Macaca fascicularis: one gene and its partners. The protein of the gene in region 3 purifies or fractionates together with the protein of the main gene of each other region. This does not show direct contact. Links are inferred from orthologs where the notes say so. Each region holds a gene or a part of one and is shown on either strand. Other genes may lie near its edges.

Region 1 (4,302 bases), on a different chromosome or scaffold from region 3:
CATCTGGCTTATGGAAACATGGGTGATTTTCCACTACCCTCTCTTCCTTCAAAATACCTTTTCACTCTGGACAGGTTTTACATTTCAAGGGAGTGGGGGTGGGAAGGAATCTGATTTCAAGGTAACTTGATAAATTTACTCACATGTAATCTGCCTCGAAGCTCTCGGTCATTTCTCATCTTCACATAAATTCGCTCATCTAGGCTGAGCCTGATAAGATCCAGGGGCTCCTCTACAGTGTTGGTAGTTTGTTGCTGATAACAGAAACAGGTTTAGTAATATAGTACTAGAGATAAAGTAGTGCTTAAATCACTGCTATGCTGTATGACCATGTGCAAGTTATTTAACCTTTTTCTGCCTCAGTCTCCTAATCTGTAAAATGGAGATAATAGTGTCTACCTAATACTGTTTTTATGAGGCTTAAGTGACATATATGAAGGCTTAGAACAGAACTTTTCACATAGTATGTGCTATATAAATGTAGATTAAAACACGCATACATAAGAAGGAGTTACACAGCAAAATAATCATGACTATACTTTGTTCCCTCAAAATCCAAACTGCCTGACCCGATTTCAGGGTATAGGGTCTTAGGAACTTTAGCTTTATCTCAAATATTATGTAATCATAGGAAAAACACTCACTTAATGCCTACCATATACTAGTCAGAATGCCAAGTAGAGGTGTAGGTTTATGGGAAGATTATGAATTCAGCACAGGTTGAGGTTAGGCTGCCAACTGGCCAGTAAGATGAATATTTAGTAGCCAGAATAGAACACTGGTTCAAAGCACTGGCTTAGCCGGGCATGGTGGCATGCGCCTGTAGTCCCAGCTACTCCGAGGCTGAGGTGGGAGGATTGCCTGAGCCTGGGAGGTGGAGGTTGCAGTGAGCCAAGATGGTGCCAACAAGCAAGCAAGCACTGACTTTGGAGTCAGGCAGTCTGGGTTCAACTCCTGGCTGTGACCTGACACTTATGAACTGAGATTAAAAATCATGCCATCTGTAATTCTCAGATTCTTCATTTGTAATTGAGAAAGCCACAACCTTCCTTCTGGATTCTTATGAGGATGAAACTAGTTAATGCATTTAAAACAGTGCCAGGAAAGCAGAAAATATTAATACTTAGAAACGGTTCCTTTTGGCTGGGCGTGGTGGCTCAGGCCTGAATTCCAGCACTTTGGGAGGCTGAGAAAGGCAGATCACCTGAGGTTAGGAGTTTGAGACCAGCCTGGCCAACATGGTGAACCCCGTCTCTACTAAAAATACAAAAATTAGCCAGGCGTGCTGGCACGTGCCTGTAGTCCCAGCTACTTGGGAGGCTGAGACAGGAGAATCGCTTGAACCAGGAGGCAGAGGTTGCAGTGAACTGAGATCACGCCACTGCACTCCAGCCTGGGCGATAGAGTGAGACTCCATCCAAAAAAAAAAAAGAAAAGAAAAGATTCCTACTAATATTATATTATTAAAGAACTGCTGGAAACACTGGTTTTAGAGGTCAGGGCTAGGATGACTTGGGGTCACCCACATGGAAGGGAGGGTTGCAGCCATTAAAGAGTTAGATGATTCAAGGAGAGCTTCTTTAGTAAGCACACAAGGCCAGTGGAGGAAGGTAACTGAATTCGTAACAGGCGCTAAAGATTCAAAAGGCCCGATGAGAGAAAAAAAAATAACCTAACTCAACTGGTCCCTATGTCCCTCAGTTCAACAGGTGTTTGTTAAAGGATCTGATAACCAACTGTTAGATTACAATGATACAGAAGTCACAATCTCCACCCTCAAGGAGCTCATTCTAATGTGGATAGGCATATGAATAATTATAATACTGTAAGAATATGCACATGACAGAGCTCTACTGCTACCTAAGCCTCTGTCTGGGATGCCCACTTTCTGTTCTTTTTCATCCTGTAGCTTTATACATTGGCTTTTAAAAGAGGCCTCCTCTGATCATCTAACTCATTCACTCAAATATTTGTTGAGTATTTCCAGCACTGTTCTAAACCCCAAGGACAAAAGAATGAACAAAACAAAATGCCTACTGTTATGGCACTTACATTCTAGTCAGGAGAGATACACATTAAACAAAGATGCATACATTTAATATGAAAAAATAACGTTCTATGAAGAAAAATGAGGCAGGGTAAGCAGAGTAGGGGGAGTGCTATTTGGGCAGAAGTCCTCTCTGAGGAGGTGAGATTTCAGTAGAAAGTTTAAGTTGTAGCATGATCTCCAAAGATATTTGAGGAAGAAAAAGACCAGGTGAAAAAGCTTCTAGGACCATCTGTTATTCTGCATACCAGTTCCTTGTTTCCTTCATAGCACATCACAGTTCCTATAAATCTTACATATTTATATTTATCTGTTCTCCTCGCGAATATAAGCTCCAAGTCATGGCAAGGATCACTTATATATCGATGTCAGTGTCCCTGGCTCTTAGAACAGTGTCTAACCATACAAAGCTGATGTTCACTCTCTCTGCTGAATGAGTAAATAATTGTTGTGCTCAGTAATAACAACTCCTAACTTTATTATCTGGCTTTCTATTGGAATCCTGACAGCTCCGTGAGGTAGGCACGCATAATAATTTACAGATTTAAAAAAACAAAGCGAAGAGTGTGATGAATAGTCATCAGGTGGCCTTCTAACGGAAAAGACCTCAGGGCCTGCAGCAAAATTCGGACAGGGGTGTTTACGGAAAGGATGGGGCGGATTAGGCCGTGTGACTTGGAAAGAAGAGGCGCGACTGGCCATTTTTCCTGCGTTTGGAAAAAGCAGTTTAGTACAAGAAGCGGCGCCGAGCCACCGCCTTAAAATTCACTCACCTGGTCTACGTCGTCCGCCATGTTTCAAACCCTGCGCCCTTTCCCGCCTCTCGCGAGAACACAAGAGCAACGCCGAGCTCCGGAAACGTGATGCTACAATACACCGGAAATAGAAACCTGCTGTGCTCTTGCCTGCTTCCCGCGGTTTTTTAGTGGCCACGGGTATGGGGCGGAGCTTCCTTTGGGGGCGTGACTAGGCCTCCAACGAAGGGGCGCGGCCAGACGCGCCCGCCTCGGGGCGGGGCCTGCGTTCTAACGCATCGCGGCCTGGTGCGTCACTCGCGAAGTGGATTTTTCCCCGACAAGCAATATGGCTCGGAAGCGCGCGGCCGGCGGGGAGCCGCGGGGACGCGAAACGCGCAGCCAGAAGTCCAAGGCCAAGAGCAAGACCCGGCGTGAGGAGGAGGAGGGTGAGAGCGTGGCCCAGCGGGCTTCGCGGGAGACTCTGCCGGTGGGCGGAGGAGGCCCAGAGGCAGGGGCGGCGGGAGTCCAGACGCGGAGGCCGGGTGGAGGTTGCTGCGCGCGTTCCGCGCAGTGGGGGCAGCACGGCAGGCCGCGGCCGGCCCTCCCCGCTGTCCCTGCGCCTTTGTCCTCTGCACCCAGAGCGGCTTCCCGTGAGCCTCGCCCGACCCAAGCTCCTGCGTAGCTTCTTTCCCGCTCCCCGTTGTCCAGAGGATACAGCGCAGATGTTCAGGGTTGAACGCGGAGAAGGCAGTTATTTGTGTCCCAGGAAAACGGACGGACGGACCAGGACGTAGAGTGATGCAGTGTGCTGACTCCCGAATGATAACTTCAGCTGAGTCTCGCCCAGAGTTCCACAGTGGGATCCCACCTGACTTCCCCTCGTGGATATTGGATAGGCTTCTTACATTTGTCGTGGACAGTGCAGAGCTCATGGTCTTCCCCTTCAAATCTATGGTTTCCTCCGTTTTTCCAGTCCCAATACTTGTTATAAAACAAAGTCCACCTTTTTCTTATGTGCACACATCCAGTCCCGTCAGCAAGTCCAGTCAGTTCAGCCTCAGACTGTATTTCAAATTTGTCCACTTCTCTTCATTTCCATGGCCACAACCCCTGTCCAAGTCACCATCACCTTTCAGTTGAGTGACTGCAGTTTCCTCTTGACTGGCCTCCCAGCTCTGCATCCAGCAACGCAAATAATCTTTAAAAAAAAAAAAAAAATCATGCCATGCTCCTGCTTTAAACTCTCCTTGGTTTTCCATTGCTCTTAGTTTAAAACCCAGTTGTCTTATCCTGGCCTGCAAGATGCTACGTGTTTTGGCTCTTGCTACCTCTCCTGTTTCTCCTACCACTTGTTTCCTTGCCAGATACCCTCCTCATTGGCCTCCTTTCTCTTCCTCAAATATGCCAAGTTATTTCTTGAGCCTTTTCCTTTGATATTCCTTCGGCCTAGAGTGACCCCCCACCATGGCTTTTGCCAGGGCTGATTTCTTCAAATCTCAAGTCAGACATTCCTTGAGC
Region 2 (4,466 bases), on a different chromosome or scaffold from region 3:
CTAAAAATAGAAAATTAGCTGGGCGTGGTGGGGCATGCCTGTAATCCCAGCTACTCGGGAGGTTGAGGCAGGAGAATCGCTTGAAACGGGAGGCGGAGGTTGCGGAGAGCCAAGATCACACCATTGCACTCCAGCCTGGGCAACAAGAACAAAACTCCACCTCCAAAAAAAAAAAAAAAACCAATTTATAAGGCCTGGCTGGGCACGGTGGTTCACACCTGTAATCCCAGGACTTTGGGTAGAGGCAGAGGCAGGTGGATCACCTGAGGTCAGGAGTTTGAGACCAGTTTGGGCAACATGGCGAAACCCCTCCTTGACTAAAAACACAAAAATTAGCCAGGCATGGTGGCAGATATCTATAATCTAATATGATTTACAGCGCCCACCCTGATCTGGCCCATAGGTATGTCTCCACTACCTCTCTCACCTGCTAAACTCCATCAACTAAATTACTTTCTTTTTTTTTTTTTCAGACAGAGTCTCGTTCTGTCACCCAGGCTGAGTGCAGTGGCACAACCTCAGCTCGCTGAAACCTTCACCTCCTGGGATCAAGCAATTCTCCTGCCTCAGCCTCCCAAGTAGCTGGGACTACCGGCTGGGCCACCATGCCTGGCTAATTTTTGTATTTTTAGTAGAGATGGGGTTTCACCTTGTTGGCCAGGCTGGTGTCGAACTCCTGACCTCAAGTGATCCGCCCGCCTCAGTCTCCCAAAGTGCTGGGATTACAGGCATGAGCCACCACAATCGGCCTAAATTATTTTCAGTTCCACTTCTCTCTGGCAACCAAGCCTTCTCATGTGGTGATCCACGGGACAGGAAACATCTGAAATGATCTGATAATTCATTAACTGAAGAAGAAGAAAAAACTTGTAAATGCCTTACTTCTAAAAACTTCAGTAGACAATATGGGGTAGAGAGATGATGCAGTCCCAAATTACAACAGCCTTTTTTTGAGGGGGCAGAGTCTCGCTCTGTCGCCCAGGCTGGAGTGCACTGGTACCATCTTGGCTCACTGAAACCTCTGCCTCCCAAATTCGAGCGATTCTCCTGCCTCAGCTTCCCCAGTAGCTGAGATTATAGGCACTCGCCACCAAACATGGCTAATTTTTGTATTTTTAGTAGGGACGGGGTTTCACCATTTTGGCCAGGCTGGTCTTGAAGTCCTGGCCTCAAGTGATCGACCCGCCTGGGCCTCCCAAAGTGCTGGTATTACAGGTGCGAGCCACCGCGCCTGGCTGACAACCTTAATGACAACACACATACAAAAAGGAAAGCGTTTTAAGGATACACTGAAATAGAATTTCGAACAAAAAGATTTACTCCGTACTGATAGGATGCTTAGGAAACACATCTGGACATCAGCAGGAAACAAACTGGCGATAAAAAAGACACCCATTTTGAGATGCACACACCCTTAAGATACAAACATTACTGTCAGCCACACATTTAAATAGAAGCTGCACCCAAGAAAATTTTCATACACAGAGTGGAAAGAACTTTAAAACTATACAAGTTTTCTCCACCACAAAATAAGTATATTTCCTGACAAACAAAAATATGTGGGAGAGGATACCTCATTTTTTTTTTAATTTTTTTTTCTGAGACGGAGTTTCACTATTGTTGCCCAAGCTGGAGTGTAGTGGCGCGATCTCGGCTCACTGCAACCTCCGCCTCCCGGGTTCAAGCGATTCTCCTGCCTCAGCCTCCTGACTAGCTGGGATTACAGCTGCCCGCCACTAAGCCGGGGTAATTTTTTGTATTTTTAGTAGACAGGGGTTTAATTATGTTGGCCAGGCTGGTCTCGAACTCCTGACCTCAGGTGATCCACCCGCCTCGGCCTCCCAGAAGTGCAGAGATTACAGGTGTGAGCCACCGCACCCGGCCGTTACCTCATTTTTGAAATAGAAAGAAAATGAAATACACACCACCACTCTAAGTAACTTAAGGACCCAGTATTTTGTAAACGATTTAAAACATTAGATTCGTGGGTAACCCCTACAAACGTAAACTAACATCTTTCCTCTGAAATTCTATAAAACAGCAGCTACTAATTGAGCATCTTAATGCAAAGCATTGTGATGGACACAGAATCAAACACAAGAGGTATCATCCCATTTTATAGACAAGACGACCAAGAATTTGACAGGTCACTTAAACAGCTAGCAGATGAGGAATGGATTTTGGACCAAGGCTGAGGCATTAATTCTAGACCACCCTTTATAAGACTTTCAGGTACTGAATTTCTCGAAATTTACACACTAGGTTTCGGAAGCAGCCCTCAACAGAGAAACCTCTGCCAGACCCAAACCCCTAGGGCACAGCGGAAAATGAGAAACTTAACGTCACCAGAGCCGATCAGAACACAATGAAGAGAGAGTTGGAAGGGCTGGTTAAAACACGAAGCCGGGAAGGATACGAATGCCCAGCAAGGTTGGTGGCACGGGTGAGCGAGCGGGAAATCAACTCCGCCTCGCTTCCCTAGCGCGAACTGAGTTTCAGCCCGCCCCATCGTGGGCTCTCCCAACTAGACATCCAGCTTCTGCCCACCTTCTTCCCCACTTTCGTCCCCCACCAGAGCCTGAGACCTAGACGCCAGAGCATGGCGGGACCAACTCAAAGGCCGAAGGCCTAGGCCGCAAGGATACACGTTAAGACGCTGCCCCATGTCCTGGAGCAGATTGGCCGCCTGCTGGCGATAAGAAAGTTCTTTATCTGGGTCCACACCAAATCGACGGGATGGGCTATTTTCCAGCTGTTCTCGAGTGAAATACCACCGTTTGTTGTTGTTCTTCCTGTCTCCCTCCATAATGCTTCAACCAGAAGGCAGCGGCGGAGGCTGCAAACACTTCCCAGCGTCACCTAAGTAGCGACCCACATCCGCTGTGCGGGGGCAACTGCGACTTGACGAACTTCCGCTAAGCGTCGACCGCCGGGTTGTGACTCTCTTCCGTAAAGAAAGCAAAAGTCAAAGGACCTACTTCCGGAATGCACCTCGCGACACCCCGTAGCCGAGTTAACAGCCAATATGCGACGAGAAAAAAACCTTGAGGCGAGGACGCAGGCGCGTCACGTGACCCTTGGGAGGTGGCGTGGGCTTAGAAGTTCTCGCTTAAAAACCATGAATCTTCCCGCGAGAACCGGATTGAGCGTTGGCGCCCGGGGTTAGGTTGTGAGGTCGCAATTGTAGTGGTATGAGGCGCCCGCCCACGCGCCGCTTGGTGGTTCTTAGGAGAACTTAGTTTGTGACTGCAGTGGTGATATAAAATGGGGCAGATGGACCGCGCGCGGTGGTTCACGTCGGTAATCTCAGCACTTTGGGAGCCCGAAGCAGGCGGATCACGAGGTCAGGAGTTCGAGACCAGCCTGGTCAATATGGCGAAACCCTGGTCTCTACTAAAAATACAAAATTAGCCGGGCGTGGTGGCGTGCGCCTGTAGTCCCAGGAACTCGGGAAGCTGAGGCAGGAGAATCGCTTGAACCCGGGAGACGGAGGTCGCAGTGAGCCGAGATCGCGCCACTGCACCCCAGCCTCCAGCCTGGGTGACAAAGCGAGACTCCGTCTAAAAAATAAATAAAATAAAAATGGGGCAGATGAACTTGAAAGAGAAAGTAGGTGAGGTTGTCAGAAACTGAAAAACAGAATCAAATGGTGGGGCTCTTTCGTATATGGGAACATAAAGCAACTAGAAGGCTGTTACATTGTTGGTAGCAATGTAAAATACGACAACCCATTTGGAGAGGTCGCTTTAATGTGTAGCCAAATTCATGAAAACATTCTCACGTTTCGCCGCAGTGATCCAACTTAAAGGAATAAAATGAAATTAATAACATTAAGAGCTTACATGTCCCATGCACAATACTGACTTAAATATACTGTTTCATTTATTCAGCGGAACTCTCAAGAGGTAATTTTTAAGTACGTTTGCTAATGGGTGAACTAATACTGCCCCTTGAGTGTGAAAAGCCTCCACCACTACCCCTCACTTGCAGAGATTAGCAAATTCCTGCCCTCTGTCAAGATATTTCCCAGCTCCTTTGCCGGCGCGGTGGCTCACGCCTGTAATCCCAGCAGTTTGGGAGGCCAAGGCGGGCGGATCACCTGAAGTCCGGAGTTGGAGACCAGCCTGGCCAACATGGTGAAACCTCGTCTCTACTGAAAATACAAAAATTAGCCAAGTGTGGTGGCGCACGCCTGTAATCCCAGCTACTCGGGAGGCTGAGGCAGGAGAATGATTTGAACCCGGGAGGCGAAGGTTGCAGTGAGCCTAAATCTCACCACTGCACTCCAGCCTAGGCGACAGTGCAAGACTGCTTCTCAAAAAAAAAAAAAAAAAAAAAAAAAAAAAAACGGATATATCCCAGCTCCAGCGTCTGATAACTGTTTGGTGCTGGCAAGATAGTTAACCTCTCTATGCCTCTTTTCTGTGATAATACCTATGTTTTAGATTGTGAAAGGGAGTAAAGAT
Region 3 (4,302 bases):
TGTCCGCTCCATCCAAGGGCACTTGGGGGGCAGCGATGGGACCCCGGCTGGCAGTCAGCGAGGCTGGGAAGCAGCTCCTCTTTCGAACGGTGGTGGTCCCTTCCTCACCCTCTGCCCCCGGGTCCCCTTCCACAGTCTGGGGTGGGAGACGCAGCTCCTCGGAAAGGTAGTGTCGGATGTTCTGACGGGCAGAATGGATGAGCCGGGAATCTATATCCAAGCCCACCATGCGGGACGGGCCCCACTTGCAGGCAATGCTCAGGGTCAGATGGCCCACATTGCAGCCCAGATCTAGGACGTCCCGGCCCCGAAACCACTCAGGCTTCAACACCCGAAGGCGCCCATCCTCACAGGAAGGATTGCGGTACCCATAGTATTTGCAGTAATTCCCATACTGGAACTTGCGCTGTTGCTTTTTGAAGCCTGCTGCAGGCAGTGGGTGGTGGTGGTGGTGACGGCCTCCCCAACTCCCTCGGCCCTTTTCCTTGGAACCCTGGCCTCCACCCCTAGCCCCTGCCTCCGACTTGCTGGAAGTCCTGCGACGTTTGCGATGTCGGGAGGAGGAAGATGGGGGTGCAGAGGTAACTGAGGCAGCTGGAGGGGCTGATAGGGAGCCTGAGGGACCCTGTAGAGCAGATGGAAGCGGAGACACCACTTCATCCCTGCAGTTGATGGCTGTGTTGAGTTCATAGGGTTGGGGGGCATCCCGGTTCTGGCCTCTGTGCCGCGGCTGCTGTGAGGCGCCCTCCCCGTGGAGTGAGGGGGTGAGAGGGGCTGTGGGCAGCACGGGGTGGCTCTCACTCCCTCCGGCTGCCTGCTGCTGCTGGTGGTGCTGTCCCCGGTGTCTATGCCGCTTCCGACCAGTCTTGAGTGGCGAAGCAAGAACTACATGGCCCTCATCAGTGCAAGTATTGAGACTGAGCGGGTCAGTAATATCTTTGGGGATGAGGATCTCCACTGGATCTCGCCCTTTGGCCGGAAGGGGGGATGACTTAGGGGTCTCTGCGTTGAGGGCGCGGCTCACTTCCTCATCCAGGAGGCTATTCAGGTTTAGGGGATCAAAGATATTGCCCCCCAGGAGGAAGTTGGAGGGTAACACAGAGTCACAGTCCGAATTCACCCGCCTGCGCCTCTTGAAGGCCGGATGTTTAAAGCCTCCCCCACCTCCCCCTACATTACAGCTATTTCTCCTCTTGCCCCCGCCCCCCCCAGGTGGCCGGTGGGGCTGATAGCCATTGCGGGGTCGAGGAGGAGCAGGGGGACCCAGCTCTGTCCCGCCCCCTCCCCGGCGCTCCTCCCCCACGTCCGGGGGAGCGGCTCGCCCCGGGGTATCCGACAGGCGGGCCTCCCCGTGCGACTGCGCCTGGGGGCCGCCTCCTCGGTGCTGCTGCGCCTGGGGACCACCGGGGGGGGTGGCCGCGGCCCCGGGGCTCTCTCGACCGACCCCAGCGGCCGGGGACCCCGCAGACGGCGCGCAAGGACCCGGACCACGCTCCGTCCCGCCGCAGAGCTCCCCAGAGGCGGCCTCTTGGTGCGGTGGCACAGTGGGGCCGCCCCCTCCGCCCGACTCATCTTTGAGCGGCGGCGGCGGGGCCGGCACCAGAAACGGCTCCTTCTCCGCCGCCATCTCGATCATTTCCTCCCCTTATTCCGTCCCAGTCGGGGTAACGAGGGGGATCAGGGGGCTTAACCCCCCCTGCCTGGACCCTGCTCCCTTCCCCCCCTTTCCCGAGTGCGCGCGCAGCTCTGCTCTTCTCGCCTAGTCTCGCGCCCAAGCGCCTCCCCGCGAAGTGCGCCCCACTCGCCCGCGAGACCAAAACAAGATGCCCGCGACACCCGAACTACTCGAGCACTCAACCGCGCGTGCGCCGACCCCTTTCTCCTCCGCCACTACCACCCCGCCGCGAGCGCGCACGGCAAGCGCGCGTTCCCTTCGCCCCGGAACCACGCATGCGCACTCCGCCACCACCCTGGTTGCGCGCGCATCGGAGTACGAACCAACTTAACGGCTCTGGGAGTTTAAATATAACCCCCCACACAGCCCCCGCAAAAGCCCACCACCCCAAACTGACACCCTACTTCCCTGCGCAGCTAGGTCCGGCCCTACTGATCTCCTTTGTCTCTGCCGCGCGATCCCACCCACCGTAGGCGGGGGACGGGACCTGGTGTGAAAAGGTCTCCTTGACACCCGACCCTTGTTCCTGAGGAATGAGTCTCAGCGGTCTCCACCCGGCTCTAAATCCAACAACCTCCCCACCCCGCCTCCTTCCTCCCCCTAGTGAGCAGCGCCTGCGCACACCCTTTTGGGCTTGCGCGGGTACAGGCAGCACGTGCTGGAGGTGGCGCCCCGCCTCCCGTCTTAGGGGTAGGGCCTGTGACGTCGCTTCCTTAAGTTTGGTAAACGCAGCGTGCGTCAGCGCGATCCGGAGGGGCAGGGCTTCCCGACGAAGGGCGGTGCTCATGAATTATTCATGAGCTGTTGGTAGCACACCTCCCCCCTCTGCCCATCTTCTTAGAAGCGCTTCCGAAGGAGCAGAGAGACCCTACAAAGCCGAGGAAGGGCAGGAGTGGAACTGGGCTCAGTAAAACGCGATAGGTCATTATAACTCACCCCCCTCGAAAATATTCTCTGCTGAATTGGGGAAAAATAAAAAGCACTAAAACAGCCGGTGTTGTCCAACTTCCTCTTCCCCCGAAACGGCTGAGTCGTTCTCTGGTTCCTCTGCCTTCCCCCAATCGCAATCACCTGGAGACGCCACACCACGCCTTCCTCTCCGCCTCCACACCCACGGCCCGGACCCCAACGCCTCCGCCCATTCCCGACGCTCGCTCACTGGCCCGTCAGCTCACGGGCCTCCCCAAACGCCCGCCGCGGCGCCGCGCCGACTTATATACCAGAGAGTGTGGGCGGGGACGGGGGTTCGGTCCGCGCTGGGCCCCGCCCCCCCCGCTTCGGCCAATGAGGAAGAAGCGAATCTACGGCGTTTTCCCGGGGAGATTCGCAGCCCGGTCTTCCTGCCAGCGGAGTGCTGGGCCGAGGAGCGGGTGACAGGGGTGACAGTGGGGTCCCGGAAAGTCTCAAAATCCTAAAGTGAGGGCGTGAAGGAGACCAGCAGGAAGAGGAGGAATCAGGGAACGGAAAGAGGGAGGAAAAGGCAGTCTGAAACAGAGAAAAGTTAGTAAGATGTGCTTCAAGAACAATCAGGCGCTGCGGCCGCCGCCTAAAAATATGTGACACCAAAGAGGATTCTGGGATTTGTAGTTTTCCCGGGACGTTCGGGTGAAAGATGGCGGAATTACCTCAGCCGCGGAAACGCAGACGCTGTTTCCAGTTGCGCATGCGCCTCAGACTCCGCGAGCGCGCCTCCCGGGGGTGGAGCTAGCGCGCAGGACGTCCTCGTGCCTTTTCTTGGTGGCGGGAAACCTGGGTTGAGGTGTGAGAGGCTTGCGGAGTCGCTGCGCCAGCTGGTTTTGCACCTCGCCTTTAGGTCCTCCCTGCTCCTGAAGGTAGCCGGCTAGTTTCTGGTTGTAGGTGAAGGTGCTAGGCGCCGCCAGTCCTGGCACCCGTTGCCTGAGGAGAAACTTTCTCAGGGCGACAACCAGCTCTTGGCCCTTTTTCCTCAGAATCTGTCGTCCCCAAGAAACAGACAAAAACAGCCCAGTCTCCTGACGGGCACTGACAATATGAGTGAGAATGAGGATCACGGTGCCTTGGCGGGAGTGGGAGTGGAGGGGAGATTCCCTCATGGTGGGAGGAAGGAAGGGAAGGAACGGGAAAGAGAGAGGGGGACGCCACCGTTTACGGGGAGAGGCGAGGACGTGTGGCTCAGGGACACCTCCGAACTGAACCCCTATCCCTGAGAGAGAATAAGGGGTGAGGGAAGAGAGAGGAAAATGGGAGCACCCCCCAAATGGGAAGAACTTCTCCCCAAAACTTCTTCCCTTTGGATTGCAAGGTGCATTTGGGATTGGGGCTTTTTAAAAATTATCTTTTATTTTTTATTATTTTTTAAAAGACAGTCTTGCTCTGTCGCCCGGGCTGGAGTGCAGTGGCGCAATCTCCGCTCACTACAACCTCCGCCTCCCGGGTTCAAGCGATTCTCCTGCCTCAGCCTCCTGAGGAGCTGGGGTTACAGGCGCCCACCACCACGCCCAGCTAATTTTGTATTTTTAGTAGAGATGGAGTGTCTCCATGTTGGCCAGGCTGGTCTCGAACTCCTGACCTCAGGTGACCTCTTGGCCTCGCAAAATTCTGGGATTATAGGCACGCCCCACCGTGCCCGGCTAATTTTTCCGTATTTT
Region 4 (4,360 bases), on a different chromosome or scaffold from region 3:
ACGGCTTTGCCGGAGGCTGTCCTTGGGCAGAGCTGGAGGGGGAATCTGGGGGCCGCTGGAGCCAGGAAGATGCAGGCGAAGGGATGGGCGCGATGGGGGAGGGAGATGGGGGGGTGAGTGGTGAGCTCCCGCCTGCATAAGGACAGCAAGCCTCCCCAGTGCTCTCCTCCTGGCCCAACCACGGATAGCCTGAGTCAAGAGAATCCCCTTCACAGTCAGACACCCAGCTTTGTCGCCGTGTGACCTTGGGCAAATGACCTCACCTCTGAGCCTCAATGTCCTCTTCTGCAAAATGGGTTAGTGATCCTGACTATGGGGCTGTTGATTCAGGATTCGGCGGGAACGCCCAGCACTTCCTGAGCACACAAAGAGTGCTGAGAAAATGGTAGCTGTTTTTTGCGATTATTGACCCGGGGCCTGATCAGCTCTGGCGCGACTCGGCGAAGGCGCGAGTCCTGCGGGTCCCATCCCTGCCTCCTGGAGAGCCAGGCTCCAGCGATAGAAGGCCCGGGCGTTGCTTGCTCGTCGCCTCCAGTGCCGCCGCGCCCCCTGGCGGCCGTCGGTTGCCATGTCAACGGAGGGTGGCGGGGACCGGGGGAGGCGGAGGCGGGGGCCGTTTTCTCCTCCCAGGGCCGGAGGACGCTCCCTCCGCGCCTCCCGCCTTCGCCTCTTGGGGGGGCACTCCGAGCCGGGGAGGAAGGGGCTCTCCGCGGCAGCCGGCATGTGGGGGTAAACTGAGGCACGCGGCTGGGCGCCCGCAGCCAGGTGCCGAGCGCGGGGCCCCACCTCCGAAGGCGGAGGAGGGGCCGCGGGCGGTGACGCGCCGAGGGCGGCCGGCGGACAGCGAGCGGGCGGGCGGGCGGGCGGTGGCGGCGGCGGCAGGTGCGGCCGCGGAGGGTGGGAGGGAGGAGGGCGGGGGCGGGCGGAGGAGGAGGGGAAGGCGAGGCCGGGCACCTCCCCCTTTATAACGCGCCCCCTCCCGGGCTCTCGGGCCGTCTCCTAGTCGGCTCTTCCCGTCTCGCCCCCTCGCCCGGCCGCCCCGGGCCCGGGCCCGGCCAGGGAGCCCCCAGGCCGCGGCTCGGGGGCTGCCCCCCCGCCCGCCGCCCCGCGCAGCCCGGCGGAGGCGGCGCCGTCGGAGGAGGAGGAGCAGGGCACTGCGGCTGGCCCCGGATCGGGCGCCAGAGCGGCAGCAGCTTCGGCAGCAGCGGCGGCCCGGGCCCATGCAGCGGGACGCGCCACCCCGAGCCCCAGCTCCGGCGCCCCGGCTCCCCGCGCCCCCGATCGGGGCCGCCGCCAGTAGTGGCGGCGGCGGAGGCGGGGGCAGCGGCGGCGGCGGAGGCGCCTCTGCAGCTCCGGCTCCCCCTGGCCTCTCGGGAACTACAAGTCCCAGGGGGCCTGGCGGCGGGCGGCGGGCGGAAGAGGCGGGGTCGGCGCCGCGAGGCCGGAAGTGGCCGTGGAGGCGGAAGTGGCGCGGCCGCGGAGGGGCCTGGAGCGCGGCGGCGGCGGGACCCGGAGCGGGAGCGGCAGCAGCAGCGGCTGGGGGCGGCGGCGGCGCGTTGGAGGCGGCCATGGCAAAGCAGTACGACTCGGTGGAGTGCCCCTTTTGTGATGAAGTTTCCAAATACGAGAAGCTCGCCAAGATCGGCCAAGGCACCTTCGGGTAAGGCTGGGCCCCTCGGGGCCGGGAGCCGTGGGCCTGCACCCCTAGGGCGGACGTCGGGATGCCCCGGGCCCCGCCCGAGTTGGTAGAGAAACCGTCTGTCCCCGGGCTTGCCCACTGGTCTTTAGGCCGCGCCGCACCCCGCCCCGGCCTGAAGGAGCCGGCTGGTGGGGAGGAGCCTGAGGCCGGTGGTGGGGGCGGGGAGGGGCTGCAGAGAGGCGCCCGTGAGGGGAACGGGATCTCTCCAAGAGACGCCCAAGTGAGGAGAAGGGACTGAGAGAAGGAAGCAGAAGCTCCGAACGAGACAGGGTGCCGGGTGGCGGGGTAGCCGCGTGCCCTGGGTACTTACCCCAGCCCCGCCCGGGAATCTTTTTGCTGCTGCCCCTCCTCCGGTAGTGGGGGAGGGGCGGGCCCTGCGGAAATCGCCTGATGAGCTCTCGGGTCTCCCTTTCCGCCTGCAGGGAGGTGTTTAAGGCCAGGCACCGCAAGACCGGCCAGAAGGTGGCTCTGAAGAAGGTGCTGATGGAAAACGAGAAGGAGGGGGTGAGTACGGATCGGGCGTGCGGGCCAGCCGTCTAACTGCCCAGGACCCCGGGTCGGTTTTCCACCCTGCTGCTTCTAGGAGTCTCAGGTTGAGATTTAATTTTTTTCGTAGTAGTTCAGAAATTTCCAGGGAATTTGGCCTCCACCCTAAAACTAAATGCTTCATTCTTAGGCAGTTATGGGTGAGACCGGGAGGGGGAGTTGATGCATGCATCGTGTGCACTTTAGTTCACGAAGTTAGGAAGCCTTTAAACACCTTTTTTTAGTGTTAAATTTTGCTTAATGTTAAAGAAAGATACATATGCATGCAAATTTTTGAAAAGTGACTAATACTCAGTTATTTAATGTGTTTAAAAGGAGCGGTCCCTCCACCCCATCTTAGCTCAAGTACAACGTCCCATAAACCTTCCTTTTCCTGATGTGCTTTAGCGAGGACATTTTTGAATCGTCATGTTTGTTGCCAACGAAACAGCCATAGAGCTGAAGTTTGAAGGCTGAAACCGCCGAGCATTTAGTGGCTAATAGCAAAGTATTGCTGTTTCAGTTTGTTGTCTCAAATTATCTCCTTGAAGTGTGCATGCTCCTACTATATCCATTTTACAGGCAGAGCTTCTGAGACAGCTGGTTTCAGAGCCCATGATCTTGCTCTGTCTCCCAACTTGCCTCTCAATATAGACCCCAGGGCTGGGCTCTGTACTGCGCTCACTCTTGACCACTTTCCCCTCTCTCCCACCCAGTTCCCCATTACCGCCTTGCGGGAGATCAAGATCCTTCAACTTCTAAAACATGAGAATGTGGTCAACTTGATTGAGATTTGTCGAACCAAAGGTAAGTTGTTTGGATCTTATGAGGAGATGACACTTGTAGCCTAAGGTTTTGTTCGTAAAGTTGGAACTAGACCCACCTAAACTGCCTCCTCTTAACTCAGATGGACCCATGGTGACTGCTTTCTCTGGTCCTCTTTCATCGTAGCTGGTGCTTCCTCGGGGTCTGCCCTGGCCCAGAAGAGGCACTCAGAAAATATTTGACCAGTGAAGGAAGGAACAGACAGATGCTCTGGAGGGCTTGGGTGCCCATGGGTTGGAGCAGGAAGAAAGAAACTGGTTGTGGGAAAGTGTGTTGGGTGTGGCTTTCTTGACTTTTTCTTCCTTGTATTCCTGCCTCAGCTTCACCCTATAACCGCTGCAAGGGCAGTATATACCTGGTGTTCGACTTCTGCGAGCATGACCTTGCTGGGCTGTTGAGCAATGTTTTGGTCAAGTTCACGCTGTCTGAGATCAAGAGGGTGATGCAGATGCTCCTTAACGGCCTCTACTATATCCACAGGAACAAGGTGGGGGCGAGAGCTGGGAGGAGGACCCAGGCTTGGGCTGGCCTTGGCTCCCACTCCCGGGTGGATATCACTGAAGGAGCCACTCTTGCCCTTCTTGCAGATCCTGCATAGGGACATGAAGGCTGCTAACGTGCTTATCACTCGTGACGGGGTCCTGAAGCTGGCAGACTTTGGGCTGGCCCGGGCCTTCAGCCTGGCTAAGAACAGCCAGCCCAACCGCTACACCAACCGTGTGGTGACACTCTGGTACCGGCCCCCGGAGCTGTTGCTCGGTGAGGACTCCCGAGCGGGCCGAGGGGGGTGAGGGCCAGGCATCTACCTGGCCCCCGCCCCCCCACTGCCAGGGCTTCTTGAGCTGCCGGCCCTGGGGCATTGAGTCTCAGGAGGCCTCCGGGCTCAAGGGGCCCTCCTGGTGCGCTCTTCTTCCCAGGGGAGCGGGACTACGGCCCCCCCATTGACCTGTGGGGTGCTGGGTGCATCATGGCAGAGATGTGGACCCGCAGCCCCATCATGCAGGGCAACACGGAGCAGCACCAACTCGCCCTCATCAGTCAGCTCTGCGGCTCCATCACCCCTGAGGTACGGGGTCCCGGTCCCCCGGCAGAGGAGTGGGGAGTGGAATGGAGGGAGCGCTCCTCTCTGGAAGGGAGGCTGGTTTGGTGACAGGGCCTGCCCTTGAGAGCCACACAGGCTATGCGCCAGTCTTGGTTCCATCAGCCATTCTGTGGCCTTGGGCAGAACAACTGAGTCAGCGCTGGGTTTCTCTTCTGTGAACCAGAAATGGGACGTATATCAGGGTTGGGCCTGGCATGTGGTATGTGCCA
Region 5 (3,712 bases), on a different chromosome or scaffold from region 3:
GTATGAGTTATAGACTGGCATAGTTCATTCTGAGTAAACTCTGAGGATCTGGCTCATAGATGTGCAAACCAGTTCCCATGCCTGGGGAATTATCAGAATTTGAAGAGCAAACAGTTGATAGAGTAGGTGGGATGTCAGGAACTAAAGGCAGCAAGGGGAAAAAAAATCACATTTTAACGGAATAGTAGAAGGATCAATCAAAATATTAATATTTCTTTCTTGTGTAGACATTACTGTCTTATGTATTGCATTACAGACTTCAGCCAAATTAACAAACAAAACATAAACATAATGTGATACCAGAAATCAAGTTACACCAATGAGATCATTCACTCCAACTGCTATATTTTAATTCGAACCACAATAATCTCTCCCTGCAGCCAGGCGCGGTGGCACACACCTGTAATCCTAGCACTTTGGGAGGCCGAGGTGCGGTGGATCACCTGAGGTCAGGAGTTTGAGACCAGCCCGATCAACATGGCGAAACCCCGTCTCTACTAAAAGTACAAAAATTAGCTGGGCGGGTGCCTGTAATCCCAGCTACTCAAGAGGCTCAGGCAGGAGAATCGCTTGAACCTGTGAGGCAGAGGTTGCAGTGAGCCGAGATCGTGCCACTGCACTCCAGCCTAGGTGACAACAGGGAGACTCTCAAAAAAAAAAAAAAAAAAAAAAAAAAAAAAAAAAAAAAAAAGGCAGCCAGGCGCGGTGGCTCAAGCCTGTAATCCCAGCACTTTGGGAGGCCGAGACAGGTGGATCACGAGGTCAGGAGATCGAGACCATCCTGGCTAATACGGTGAAACCCCGTCTCTACTAAAAATACAAAAAAAAAAAAACTAGCCGGGCGAGGTGGCGGGCGCCTGTAGTCCCAGCTACTGGGGAGGCTGAGGCAGGAGAATGGCATAAACCCGGGAGGCAGAGCTTGCAGTGAGCTGAAATCCGGCCACTGCACTCCAGCCTGGGCGACAGAGCAGGACTCCGTCTCAATAAAAAAAAGAAAAAAAAAAAAAAAAAAAAAAAGCAGAGTAAGAAATATAGACAAACAGTAGATGTACCAGAAATATTTACTTAACAAATAACTGATTCACAGAAGCCTCTCCGTTGAGTTTAAATCCCCCTACAGTCACTATTTTCCTTGCTTCTTCTTCTTTTTTTTTTTTTTGAGATGGGAGTCTCCCTCTGTTCAGGCTGGAGTGCAGTGGCACAATCTCGGCTCACTACAACCTCCACTTCCCGGGTTCAAGCAATTCTCTGCCTCAGCCTCCCAAGTAGCTGTGATTACAAGTGCCCACCACCATGCTTGACTAATTTTTTTTGTATTTTTAGTAAAGACAGGGTTCCACCATCTTGGTCAGGCTGGTCGTGAGCTCCTGACCTTGTGATCCACCAGCCTCAGCCTCCCAAAGTGCTGGGATTAGAGACATCAGTCACCGCGCCCGGCTCACTATTTCCCTTTCTGTATCTTTTTCAAAACGAGTCAAGGCGGCTGGGTGCAGCCGCTTATGCCTGTAATCTCAGCACTTTGGGAGACCAAGGCAGGCAAATCAACTGAAGTCAGGAGTTCCAAGACCAGCCTGGGCAATATGATGAAACACCGTCTCTACTAAAAACACAAAAATTAGCTAGGCATGGTGGCACATGCTTGTAATCTCAGCTACTTGGGAGGCTGAAGCAAGAGGATCGCCTGAACCCAGGAGGTAGATGTTGCAGTGAGCTGAGATCACACCACTGCACTCTAAGCTGGGCAACGGGGTGACACTCTGTCTCAAAACCAAACCAAACCAAACCAAACCAAAACAAACCAAGAAAACAATGAGTCAAGGGGTTACTGCTTCTCTCTGCTCATTCATTCACCTACAAATGCTTGTAACCATTAAGTTCCTCTTTAGATTTATATTTTAGATGTAGAGTGTCACTCCAGGTGCTAAGAGGCTTCAATAAGGTGTGCACTGACCAGGGATAAAATCTCTTTAACTTGTACAATTTTAGCCCACTGCTATGGTTTGAGTTATGTCCCACCAAAGTACAAGTGGTGGAAACTTAATCCCCAATGAGCAGTGTTGAAAGGGTGGGACTTTTAATGTGAGCTGGTCATGAGGGTTCCATCCTCATGAATAGATTAATGCCGTTATCGTGAGAGCAGCTTTGTTATAAAAGCAAGTTCTCTCACATTTGCCCTCTTGCCACAGAATGATGCAGCAAAAAGGACCTCATCAGATGCCAGTGCTGTGCTCTTGGACTTCCCAGCCTCCAGAACCATGAGGGAAATAAACCTCTATTACATTTGTAAATTACAAAGTCTGTGATATTCTGTTATAGCAGCAGAAAATGGACTAAGACACCCACCTTTCATCTCCAGCATTATAGATTCAGGCACATCATCTCCCTCTACTTCCTTCCTCAATTCCAGCCTCTTCTTCCAGTCTTCCTCATTAGGGACAACCACCACCACTTTCCGAGAGAAGGTCTTGAACAGTAATAGCTTCCGCCGTTGGCCAGAATTGTACACATTACACTAAGAACAGGAGGAATAACTGATGTTTTGGAAGAAAATTATCACTCAAATTTAACCAAAAGAATCAGTATCAGCCAGGCACAGTGGCTCACGCCTGTAATCCTAGCACTTCGGGAGGCCAAGGTGGGCAGATCATCTCAGGTCAGGAGTTCAAGACCAGCCTGGCCAACATGGTGAAACCTCATCTCTACTAAAATACAGAAATTAACTGGGCATGATGGCGGGTGCTGTAATCCCAGCTACTCGGGAGACTGAGACGGGAGAATCGCTTGAACCCGGGAGATGGTGGTTGCAGTGAGCCGAGATTGCACCACCGCACTCCAGCCTGGGTGGTGGCTGAGCAATATTCCATCTTCAAAAAAACAAAAAAGGCCGGGTGCGATGGCTCAAGCCTGTAATCCTGTAATCCCAGCACTTTGGGAGGCTGAGGCAGGTGGATCATGAGGTCAGGAAATCAAGACCAACCTGGCTAACACGGTGAAACCCTGTCTCTACTAAAAATACAAAAAATTGGCCGGGCGCGGTGGCTCAAGCCTGTAATCCCAGCACTTTGGGAGGCCGAGACGGGCGGATCACGAGGTCAGGAGATCGAAACCATCCTGGCTAACACGGTGAAACCCCGTCTCTATTAAGAAATACAAAAAAAAAAACTAGCCGGGCGAGGTGGCGGGCGCCTGTAGTCCCAGCTACTCGGGAGGCTGAGGCCGGAGAATGGCGTGAACCCGGGAGGCGGAGCTTGCAGTGAGCTGAGATCCGGCCACTGCACTCCAGCCTGGGCGACAGAGCGAGACTCCGTCTCAAAAAAAAAAAAAAAAAAAAAAAAAAAAACAAAACAAAAACAAAAAATTAGCCAGGCATGGTGGCGGGCGCCAGTAGTCCTAGCTACTCCGGAGGCTGAGGCAGGAGAATAGTGTGAACCTGGGAGGTGGAGCTTGCAGCGAGCCGAGATCGCGCCACTGCACTCCGGCCTGGGCAACAGAACGAGACCCCATCTCCAAAAAAAAAAAAAAAAAAAAAAAGACTCAGTATCTTTGGTAACTCAGAAGACATGAGATGAGGGATCAATACACATGATCTTCTTTAACTTTTCAAACTACGTGACAGGTATTATCCTGTTTTGCTCATCAGGGAAACTGAGGTTCACAGAGGATAAAGGACTTATCCAAATTACAAACCAGAATGTGGTGGAGCCAGGAATTC
Region 6 (3,712 bases), on a different chromosome or scaffold from region 3:
GAATTTAGCCCAAATAATCCCTAAAGAAATGGGCCAGACAACAGTGATAAGAGTCAAATGATTTCTAAATGACAATTACTCTCCTACGTCTTTCATTAAACACCAGTACCTAGAAGAGGGAGGAAGCATATGCCCTGGATTCTGAGTTAGGCCCTCAGGCTGTGTCTTAAATCAGTAAGCTCTCTCTAGTCAGAGATTCAAATTCGTCTTAATGTTCACCAATCCCTTACCTGGAGGTGGGGTTGCTCTGCCAACAGGTGGGGGCGGAGTCCCCCGTCCTGGTGGGTACTGTGTTGGGGCTCCAGCAATGCTGGCGGTGGCAGCAACAGCAGCAGCTGCTACAGTGCCTCTTCCCTGTGGAGTCATTACCTGAGAAGGCAAGGGGAGAAACCAACAAAGTGATACATACCTTCACGTTATTCAAACACAGAAAATAAATGAGAAAAATGGCCAATTAGATACAAACAACTGTTGCAATGTTGTACTTCTCTCGTTATTCCCATGTTTTTTTTTTGAGACAGTTTCACTCTTGTCACCCAGGCTGCAATGCAATGGTGCAATCTCAGCCCACTGCAGCCTCCCACTCCCGGGTTCAAGCGGTTCTCCTGTCTCAGCCTGCTGGGTAGCTGGGATCACAGGTGCCCCCAACCAGGCCCAGCAGGTTTTTGTGCTTTTAGTAGAGACGGGGTTTTCACCATGTGGGCCAGGCTGGTCTCCAACTCCTGACCTCAAGTGATCTGCCCACTGTGGCCTCCCAAAGTGCTGGACTACAGGCATAAGCCACCGCACCTGCCTATTCCCATATTTTAAAAACTAATCTTAGTACACTGACATCCACAAAGCCCTTTGATCTTTTCAACTGAGGTATATCCAGGCATTCCGTTCACTCACCACTAGTGGCAAGTTACTCTTACCAAGAGTAACTCGGGTAATTTTAATCACCCAATGACCATTTTAAGTAGCTAGTTTTATTCCCTTCCTCCTGTATATCTGTCCGTTGGTTCCTCCTAGACCATATGCCCTTTACATAGTATGACATGTACACTCAGGTTTTTAAATCTCCTCGGCCTCTGGCTTAGTCACATTCTCCCAATATAAAACCCTCCGCTGGTTCCTCACCTGCTGGGACGGTCCCCCAACTCCTCGGACAGGGCCTGCCAATCCAGCAGGGGCCTGGGGAATTGGCACACCAGCTGGTACTCCTCTACCAGCTGCCCTACCAACCCCAGGGCCTCCAGCAGCTCCAGCAAGTGGTACCCGAGCAATGCCAGTCTGAAACAAGAAAATGTATAGCCTAAAATCAAACAATTTACAAGTTCTCAGTATTTTTATGCATCAGAGATCACTTCTCTCCACCATTTTCCCAGACATTTATCTCGTATTAGTTCTGTATCCAAATGAACAAGCAAGTATACCATGGAGGTATCTTGTGGATAAAATGCACATTATTTGTCAAATTGTGAAAACAGCTCTTTTATAAACATACCAAGCAAACATGAATCAGCAACTCCTACCCTCACCTAGGTAATGCCCAGCACACAGAATAATTCACCAAAAAACCCTTAATCCCAAATAGCATAGGCAACCAACAATTGATACTAAGTGCTTGGCACATTTGACAATCCATGTTAAACTGTGTCTGTGCTGTACTGTGATTTCAGACATCTCACATAATATGATGTCCTTGCAAATTAGAGTTCTGTCCTGCTCTACATCTTCCTTACATCTTTGGGGGGTGGCCCCTCCACAGTCATGGATACCAAGTTCTCCCCACGCAGCAACACCAGACCCAAAACCCGCTTTTCTTCACGCTCTGGTTGCTTCGCATTCTTTGGCCTACAAATCAGAATTAAATTTTAGTGAGATAATTTTAGTGACCCCTAGATTACTCACTCATCAAAATATTTATACAACCTCAAGTATCAATTAAGGCAACCGATGCTAAACAGATATTAAGTTATCACTGAAAAACAAACCAAAAAAAATCTGTAAACAGTTAATATAAAAGGGTAAATAGTAAAGCTGTTTTCTGATCTAACTTTAGTCTTTTACAGAATGTTCCTTTGATGTTAACACTACAACAAGACGAATTTCTTTTGTAAAACGCCTTTTAAGGAAAACAAAGTTGAAACTTCGGTTTCCATATTAAAATGGAAATTTCTTTAAAAAATTACTTAAATAATTAAATCATAATGACAGGATGACACAACTGAAATAATGCGAACAGTAATAGGCAAAGAGAGGATAACAAATAGCAACCATATCCCAACTCCTCAACCGTGAAGAGCAATTATTATTCTCTATTTCAACCCAGATTTATTCGGTCTAAGACTGCTGCAGAAGCCAACCAATTAATTAACAATAGCATTTTTCTCAATTTTAAAAATAAATATAACTTAATATTTTGAGCACTACACTTTTATTCCCAGTAATAAATCCATGATTGTCTCACAAACTTAAAAGAGTTTATATGCAGACTCTGACCTAATTCAGAGATCAGGTCAAGAGGTGAAACAATAGACTGGCTCTACCTTAGCTTCCCTACCTACCTCAGTTACCCTTGGAAATCCCTTACTCCAGCTCTGGCCTTCCTTTCCCACTGCCTCTGCGTCCAACCCCCATTTACCCAAATCAGCTTACTTGATCTTTCTGAACTCATCACAATCACAGAGGATCAAATTCATATGCTTGTCAAAAGCCTTAAAGGTGCCAATGAAGATTCGGCCATCTTGTAGGATACATCTCATTCTATAGTCAATGTGCTGCAGCATCTTGCTACTCTTGCCCACAGTCTGGAAGCAGTAAGACAAGAGTCATGTTCAGGTTGCCAACACCCTAGTCTTCTAATCTTCTGTTTCTTCTCCGCCCTTATATAATCCAAGCCTGGTTTCCTTAACTAAACAAATATTCTCTCCTACTTTTTCACCAACATTCTTCCATATTTAGTATGAGTCTCTGGAGGACCACGAAGGATTATGAAGTATTTTTTCACATCTCAAGAACCAATTTTCACCTCCTTAGGGGTGATTATTCTTCTCTTAGACAATGCATGCTGTAAACTGTCCACTCCCCTAACTAAACCAAACCACAATGATTAGGGTGTTCTCTCTCTCCAGACTGCTTTTCTCTGTACTATTAATGCCAAAACCCTTCCATTTTCAAAGTCCTCTTTATTTCTATTGTAATCTGACCTGAGAGTCCATCATCTGCAGGATAGTCCTTCACCACGGGTGGAATCATGACCAAATACTCCTGTATTTTCTCACATCATAAAACATTTCTCACGGCCAGGTACAGTGGCTCACGCCTGTCCCAGCACTTTGGGAGGCCGAGGTGGGTGGATCACTTGAGGTCAGGAGTTTGAGACCAGCCTGGCCAACACGGTGAAACCCTGTCTCTAATAAAGAGGCTGAGGCACAAGAATCTCTTGGACCCAGGGTTGTAGTGAGCCTGGGAGACAGAGCAAGACTCCGTCTGAAAAAAATAAAAAAAATCAGCTCATCTCCCGCTGATACTCAGTGCAATGAGAATCTATATCCATGGATGTATACTAACATTCAGAACCCAAAATCACTGCACATGCTGGCAAACTCTTTCTTTCAGCCCTTACATCACGTTTTCAACCCTCAGCCTTATTGTACAGCTTACCATGATTGCTGTTCCACCAAATTCAATGTCCACAGTTAAAACTTGGTGCTTCTGAAGACCTAGG
Region 7 (4,436 bases), on a different chromosome or scaffold from region 3:
ACTAATTTTTGTGTTTTTAGTAGAGATGGGGTTTCACCATATTGGCCAGGCTGGTCTTGAACTCCTGACCTCAGGTGATGGGCCCGCCTTGGCCTCCCAAAGTGCTGGGATTACAGGCGTGAACCGTCACACCCAGCCTTTTTCTCATTTTTTTTTTTTTTTTTTTAGAGCAGATATAACAAGTAAATTTAGCAATACGTCAGACTAGACTGAAAGGGGTTTAGGGTGGGGGTATATTTGGGGGCAGGAGACTAGCTGAACTGTTCAGGAAATCTTGGTGATTTTTATTTTCTTCCTTTTTTTTGACACGAAGTCTCGCTCTGTGGCCCAGGCTGGAGTGCTGTGGGAGGATCTCAGCTCACAGCAACCTCCACCTCCTGGGTTCAAGTGATTCTTCTGCTCTCCTCCCAAGTAGCTGGGATTACAGGCGCCCGCCACCACGCCCGACCAATATTTGTATTTTTAGTAGAGACGGGATTTCACCATGTTGGCCAGGCTGGTTTTGAACTAATGACCATGTTGGCCAGGCTAGTTTTGAACTCTTGACCTCAAGTGATCCGCCTGCCTCGGCTTCCCAAAGTGCTGGGATTACAGGCGTGAGCCCGGCGCCCGGCCCTTGGTGATTTTTCTAAGCTTATCACAGTCTCTCTCCCCTTAGAGTTAATTATTCTTGTGGCTCTGTGTTCCTAAGGGAAGTGGTCCGGACAAAATACATGCCAGGCAGTGCAAGGGCTGCTAGGAGAAAGGCCCGAGATACCCCTCCCGGCATTCGCTTGGGGGCCCACAATTTACATTCAATCTTCTTCAGAAACTTCCTTTTCCCGGTGTTTGCTAAAGGTGATAGTTTCCAGGTCACCTGACCGGTCTCCTTTGCTGTCAGCGCCAAGTCCTGCAAGTTTGCGTGAGAGGCGAGAAACCAGCAAGAGTTGGGCAAACTTTTCAAACCAGGTTTTTCCTTCAGGGTGGAATCTAGGCGGCCACAGTCTGGTGCCAGCTGGGTCACAAACAGCTCCGTGACCTGTTTGTAAACGCGATGCTCTTAGGTCCAGCCTAACCGCTCACAAGGATGAAGCACTTAATTAATTCATCTCTTAATCTTGTTAGGAGCCAACGGCTCCGATTAGTGTTTGGGCGTGACGGGGACGGTGCTGTTTATGAAGTCCCAGCCCATTTGGAGGTTAGGAAGAGGGGTCTGTGGGTAACTTGAAGGTCGACACACTAGGAAGAACGCTCGAGGGAGCGCCAGGCCTGTTACAACGAGCGCGCGCGCCGGCGCACTTCTCCACCCACCCGGCGCAACCGCCAGAGCGCGCTCCCAGCAACCGCGGCTCTCGCTGCGTTTGTAGCCACTACGTCACGGCCTCTTCTGCTTCTCATTGGGCGAGTCCGTCCAATCATGTGATTCCAGTATGGCGTATAAATAAAGGCGAGGAGAAAGCGGTGGTCCGCCATTTCGTGGACGCCGGGTGAGCGAGAGCTTTGGTGGGTGTTGGGTCGGAGGAAAGCAGGAAGACCCATCGGAGCGTGTGGATTTGAGCCGCTGCATTTCTTAACCCTAGATCTCGGTAAGAGACCAGCGAAAGAGGGAGTGAGGTGGAAGTGGAGTTTAACCGTACCAAGGAGGAGCCAGGCCCAATGGCGGCGCCAGATTGAGACAAAGAGGCGCCGCCGCCATTTTGTGACGTTCAGCACGGGGCGGTGGCGGGGGTTCCCGGCCCATCAGAGGGTTTCCTAGTCTTGGGGTGGAGGTGTTTATATTCCTCAGTGGGTGATGAGCCAGGATAGGGGGTTACCCGGGAGTTGGGAGCCACAAAGGGGACCGATAGCCGAGTTGTATTCCAGGTCGCAGCCTTTTTATGTTTATGGCGCCTTTTTTTTGGGCCCATCATTTAATTGGGAAGCTCCTCGGAATGCTTTTGTAAAGTCACTAACCAAGACTGGACCTTCTAATTCATGTTAAATGGCCCCCGTAATCACTTTTACTTTCATGTAGTTTCAGTTTTTGCAGCCTGAATCTAATCACTTTTTTCTAAGACCGAACGATCTTCCTTGAACTTATTAAGATTCGTTCTTTCAGCCGCCTCCCATTAAAATGTAGGCTTAAGACAGATGCCAGCAGTGTTTTTAAAGATTTTCACCAGTGGTTTTATCTTAGAACTCCTGGGCACAGGGTGTGGTCACAGCAAGTAGGATGTGTCTGGACTGGATATTTTAATTAGACAAGCCCAGAGTAAGAACGTGGTGTTTATGGAAAGCACTTCAGCTAAATTATTGAGTATATGGTTTTTATGTAATTGAAACTGGTCTACAAGTTTATCAGATTCATCGCCGAAGTGACGACTAAGTAATAAAGCTTAATCAAATGTAAGTCCGCCAAGGAAAAACAAAAAAATAAGTCCCCAAAGTGCAGTGAATTTTTGAGTAGCAAATACCTCTTTGTAACTTTTTATTAAAGTAAAATTATCCCAAAGTGGTATTTAGTATAATCAGTGTTGTGTAATCATCACTTACACGTAGTTCCAAAACATTTCCGTCACCCCCCACCGCCCCCAGGAGACTCCTACCCATTGAGCCCTTACTCCCAGTTTCCCTGTCCCACTTCCTCCAGTCACTAGCCACCACTAATCTCTCTCTCTGAACTTAGCTATTTTAGATATTTAGTATTTATGGAATCGTGTATTTTTATGTCTGGCTTCTTTAGCGTAATGTTTTCAAGATTTTCCAACGTTGGAGTATTTGTCAGTACATCATTCTGAACAATACTCATTTTATGTCTATACCACATTTTGCTTATCCGTTTCTGTTGATGGACATTTGGGTTAACACCTTTTGGCTACTGTGAATAAGTGCTGCTATGAGCTTACGTTTAAAAAAAAAACTGGAAAGTTGGTCTCGTTGCTTGAGAAATTCTTACTGCATAAGACTTTGGTCTATTTAATGACATGTGATAGCAGCCTTGTTCCTATGATTTCAAATGACCAAAATAGGCATGCATTTATTTATTTTTTTGACGATGGAACCTCGCTCTGTCGCCCAGACTGGAGTACAGTGGCGCGATCTGGCTCACTGCCACCTCCGCTTCCCGGGTTCAAGCGATTGTTCTGCCTGAGCCTCCCGAGTAGCTGGGACTAAAGGTGTTTGCCACCATGCCCGGCTAATTTCTGTATTTTTAGTTGAGACGGAGTTTCACCATATTGGCTAGGCTGGTCTCGAACTCCTGACCTCGTGATCCGCCTGCCTCGGCTTCCCAAAAGTGCTGGGATTACAGGCGTGAGCCCGGTCCATGGGCTTTTTTTTTTTTTTAAATGAAAAGTTGGCTTTTTATTAAAGCTGATACGTTTTGGCTTATGTAGGCACTTTGAATCCCTTTTCTGGTAGTGTAACCTAAAGGACTAGCTTTCTTCATCATTGTTGTATTTGGTTTTGAGTCCCCAACAGAACTCTTTTATACTTTTCTAGAAATGCTTTATTTGGGGGATTAAATAAAATAACAGGTTAAGTCTTTAACTCACGGCCCAGATGATGGTAAATGCTCCTCCAGTGTTCTCACGTTCCAAGGAAGCTGTTTTTTCCTTCACTAATTGCTGGCTTCCTGAGGGTCAGGAGAGTAAAAGTTATGGGGGAACAGGTGCTTAGCAGTAACATTTCTTGTTTGTTTCTAGCATTTTGGAATTAAGTTTTTTTTTCTCTTTACATGCTACCTTAAACTCTTTTGTGCACCATAATGGAATTCTTTCTAAGGATCTGTGGTTTTAACTGTAGATGTTTAGATAAATGAATATTTTTGGTATTTTTCATTACAGAAATGCATCGTGATTCCTGTCCATTGGACTGTAAGGTTTATGTAGGCAATCTTGGAAACAATGGCAACAAGACCGAATTGGAACGGGCTTTTGGCTACTATGGACCACTCCGAAGTGTGTGGGTTGCTAGAAACCCACCCGGCTTTGCTTTTGTTGAATTTGAAGATCCCCGAGATGCAGCTGATGCGGTCCGAGAGCTAGATGGAAGGTGATTTAAATTGATACAAATGTATTGCTTGTATTTTTCATATTTAAAATGTACAGGATATGTGGCTCTTAGATCTGGCTTTCCCAATCACTGGCCAATTGTATCTTTAGATACAATTGGGATTTTTTTTTTTTTTTTTTTGAGAAGAGTCTTGCTCTGTCACCTGGGCTGGAGTGCAGTGGTACGATCTCGGCTCACCACAGCCTCCGCCTCCTGGGTTCAGGTGATTCTCCTCCCTCAGCCTCCTGAGTAACTGGGACTCTAGGCATGTGCCATTATGCGGGGCTGATTTTTGTATTTCTAGCAAAGATAGGGTTTCACCATGTTGACCAGGCAGGTCTCGAACTCCCGACCTCAGGTGGTCTGCCTGCCTGGGTCGCTCTCCCAAAGTGCTGGAATTACAGGTGTGAGCCACTCTGCCCAGC

What was found.
Region 1: the proteins of MEPCE (region 3) and LSM3 purify together in Homo sapiens (affinity purification with mass spectrometry; 3 studies listed by BioGRID and IntAct, with this or other methods). This does not show direct contact. The link is inferred for Macaca fascicularis from reciprocal best matches to the Homo sapiens genes MEPCE and LSM3.
Region 2: the proteins of MEPCE (region 3) and CCNT1 purify together in Homo sapiens (affinity purification with mass spectrometry; 3 studies listed by BioGRID and IntAct, with this or other methods). This does not show direct contact. The link is inferred for Macaca fascicularis from reciprocal best matches to the Homo sapiens genes MEPCE and CCNT1.
Region 4: the proteins of MEPCE (region 3) and CDK9 purify together in Homo sapiens (affinity purification with mass spectrometry; 10 studies listed by BioGRID and IntAct, counting the BioPlex papers as one, with this or other methods). This does not show direct contact. The link is inferred for Macaca fascicularis from reciprocal best matches to the Homo sapiens genes MEPCE and CDK9.
Region 5: the proteins of MEPCE (region 3) and HNRNPUL2 purify together in Homo sapiens (affinity purification with mass spectrometry; 3 studies listed by BioGRID and IntAct, with this or other methods). This does not show direct contact. The link is inferred for Macaca fascicularis from reciprocal best matches to the Homo sapiens genes MEPCE and HNRNPUL2.
Region 6: the proteins of MEPCE (region 3) and SNRPN purify together in Homo sapiens (affinity purification with mass spectrometry; 3 studies listed by BioGRID and IntAct, counting the BioPlex papers as one, with this or other methods). This does not show direct contact. The link is inferred for Macaca fascicularis from reciprocal best matches to the Homo sapiens genes MEPCE and SNRPN.
Region 7: the proteins of MEPCE (region 3) and SRSF3 purify together in Homo sapiens (affinity purification with mass spectrometry; 3 studies listed by BioGRID and IntAct, with this or other methods). This does not show direct contact. The link is inferred for Macaca fascicularis from reciprocal best matches to the Homo sapiens genes MEPCE and SRSF3.

The regions. Positions count from the first base shown.
Region 1 is NC_088376.1:152,442,876-152,447,177, reverse strand, and holds the start of LSM3 (U6 snRNA-associated Sm-like protein LSm3), read right to left. Parts: upstream 2,883-4,302; 5' UTR 2,842-2,882; coding exon 2,821-2,841; intron 255-2,820; coding exon 144-254; intron 1-143. Other genes in the region: XPC (DNA repair protein complementing XP-C cells), read left to right, coding at 3,131-3,230. UniProt on the Homo sapiens protein: Plays a role in pre-mRNA splicing as component of the U4/U6-U5 tri-snRNP complex that is involved in spliceosome assembly, and as component of the precatalytic spliceosome (spliceosome B complex).
Region 2 is NC_088385.1:55,529,673-55,534,138, forward strand, and holds the start of CCNT1 (cyclin-T1), read right to left. Parts: upstream 2,865-4,466; 5' UTR 2,807-2,864; coding exon 2,646-2,806; intron 1-2,645. UniProt on the Homo sapiens protein: Regulatory subunit of the cyclin-dependent kinase pair (CDK9/cyclin-T1) complex, also called positive transcription elongation factor B (P-TEFb), which facilitates the transition from abortive to productive elongation by phosphorylating the CTD (C-terminal domain) of the large subunit of RNA polymerase II (RNA Pol II).
Region 3 is NC_088377.1:49,007,448-49,011,749, reverse strand, and holds the start of MEPCE (7SK snRNA methylphosphate capping enzyme), read right to left. Parts: upstream 2,865-4,302; 5' UTR 1,637-2,864; coding exon 1-1,636. UniProt on the Homo sapiens protein: S-adenosyl-L-methionine-dependent methyltransferase that adds a methylphosphate cap at the 5'-end of 7SK snRNA (7SK RNA), leading to stabilize it.
Region 4 is NC_088389.1:16,210,972-16,215,331, reverse strand, and holds the start of CDK9 (cyclin-dependent kinase 9), read left to right. Parts: upstream 1-1,453; 5' UTR 1,454-1,568; coding exon 1,569-1,660; intron 1,661-2,121; coding exon 2,122-2,203; intron 2,204-2,940; coding exon 2,941-3,031; intron 3,032-3,369; coding exon 3,370-3,536; intron 3,537-3,636; coding exon 3,637-3,808; intron 3,809-3,966; coding exon 3,967-4,115; intron 4,116-4,360. UniProt on the Homo sapiens protein: Protein kinase involved in the regulation of transcription.
Region 5 is NC_088388.1:11,332,009-11,335,720, reverse strand, and holds part of HNRNPUL2 (heterogeneous nuclear ribonucleoprotein U-like protein 2), read right to left. Parts: intron 2,513-3,712; coding exon 2,344-2,512; intron 1-2,343.
Region 6 is NC_088381.1:4,135,448-4,139,159, forward strand, and holds part of SNRPN (small nuclear ribonucleoprotein-associated protein N), read right to left. Parts: 5' UTR 3,652-3,712; coding exon 3,649-3,651; intron 2,793-3,648; coding exon 2,641-2,792; intron 1,837-2,640; coding exon 1,725-1,836; intron 1,273-1,724; coding exon 1,120-1,272; intron 370-1,119; coding exon 231-369; intron 1-230.
Region 7 is NC_088378.1:135,077,844-135,082,279, reverse strand, and holds the start of SRSF3 (serine/arginine-rich splicing factor 3), read left to right. Parts: upstream 1-1,447; 5' UTR 1,448-1,565; intron 1,566-3,803; 5' UTR 3,804-3,805; coding exon 3,806-4,011; intron 4,012-4,436. UniProt on the Homo sapiens protein: Splicing factor, which binds the consensus motif 5'-C[ACU][AU]C[ACU][AC]C-3' within pre-mRNA and promotes specific exons inclusion during alternative splicing.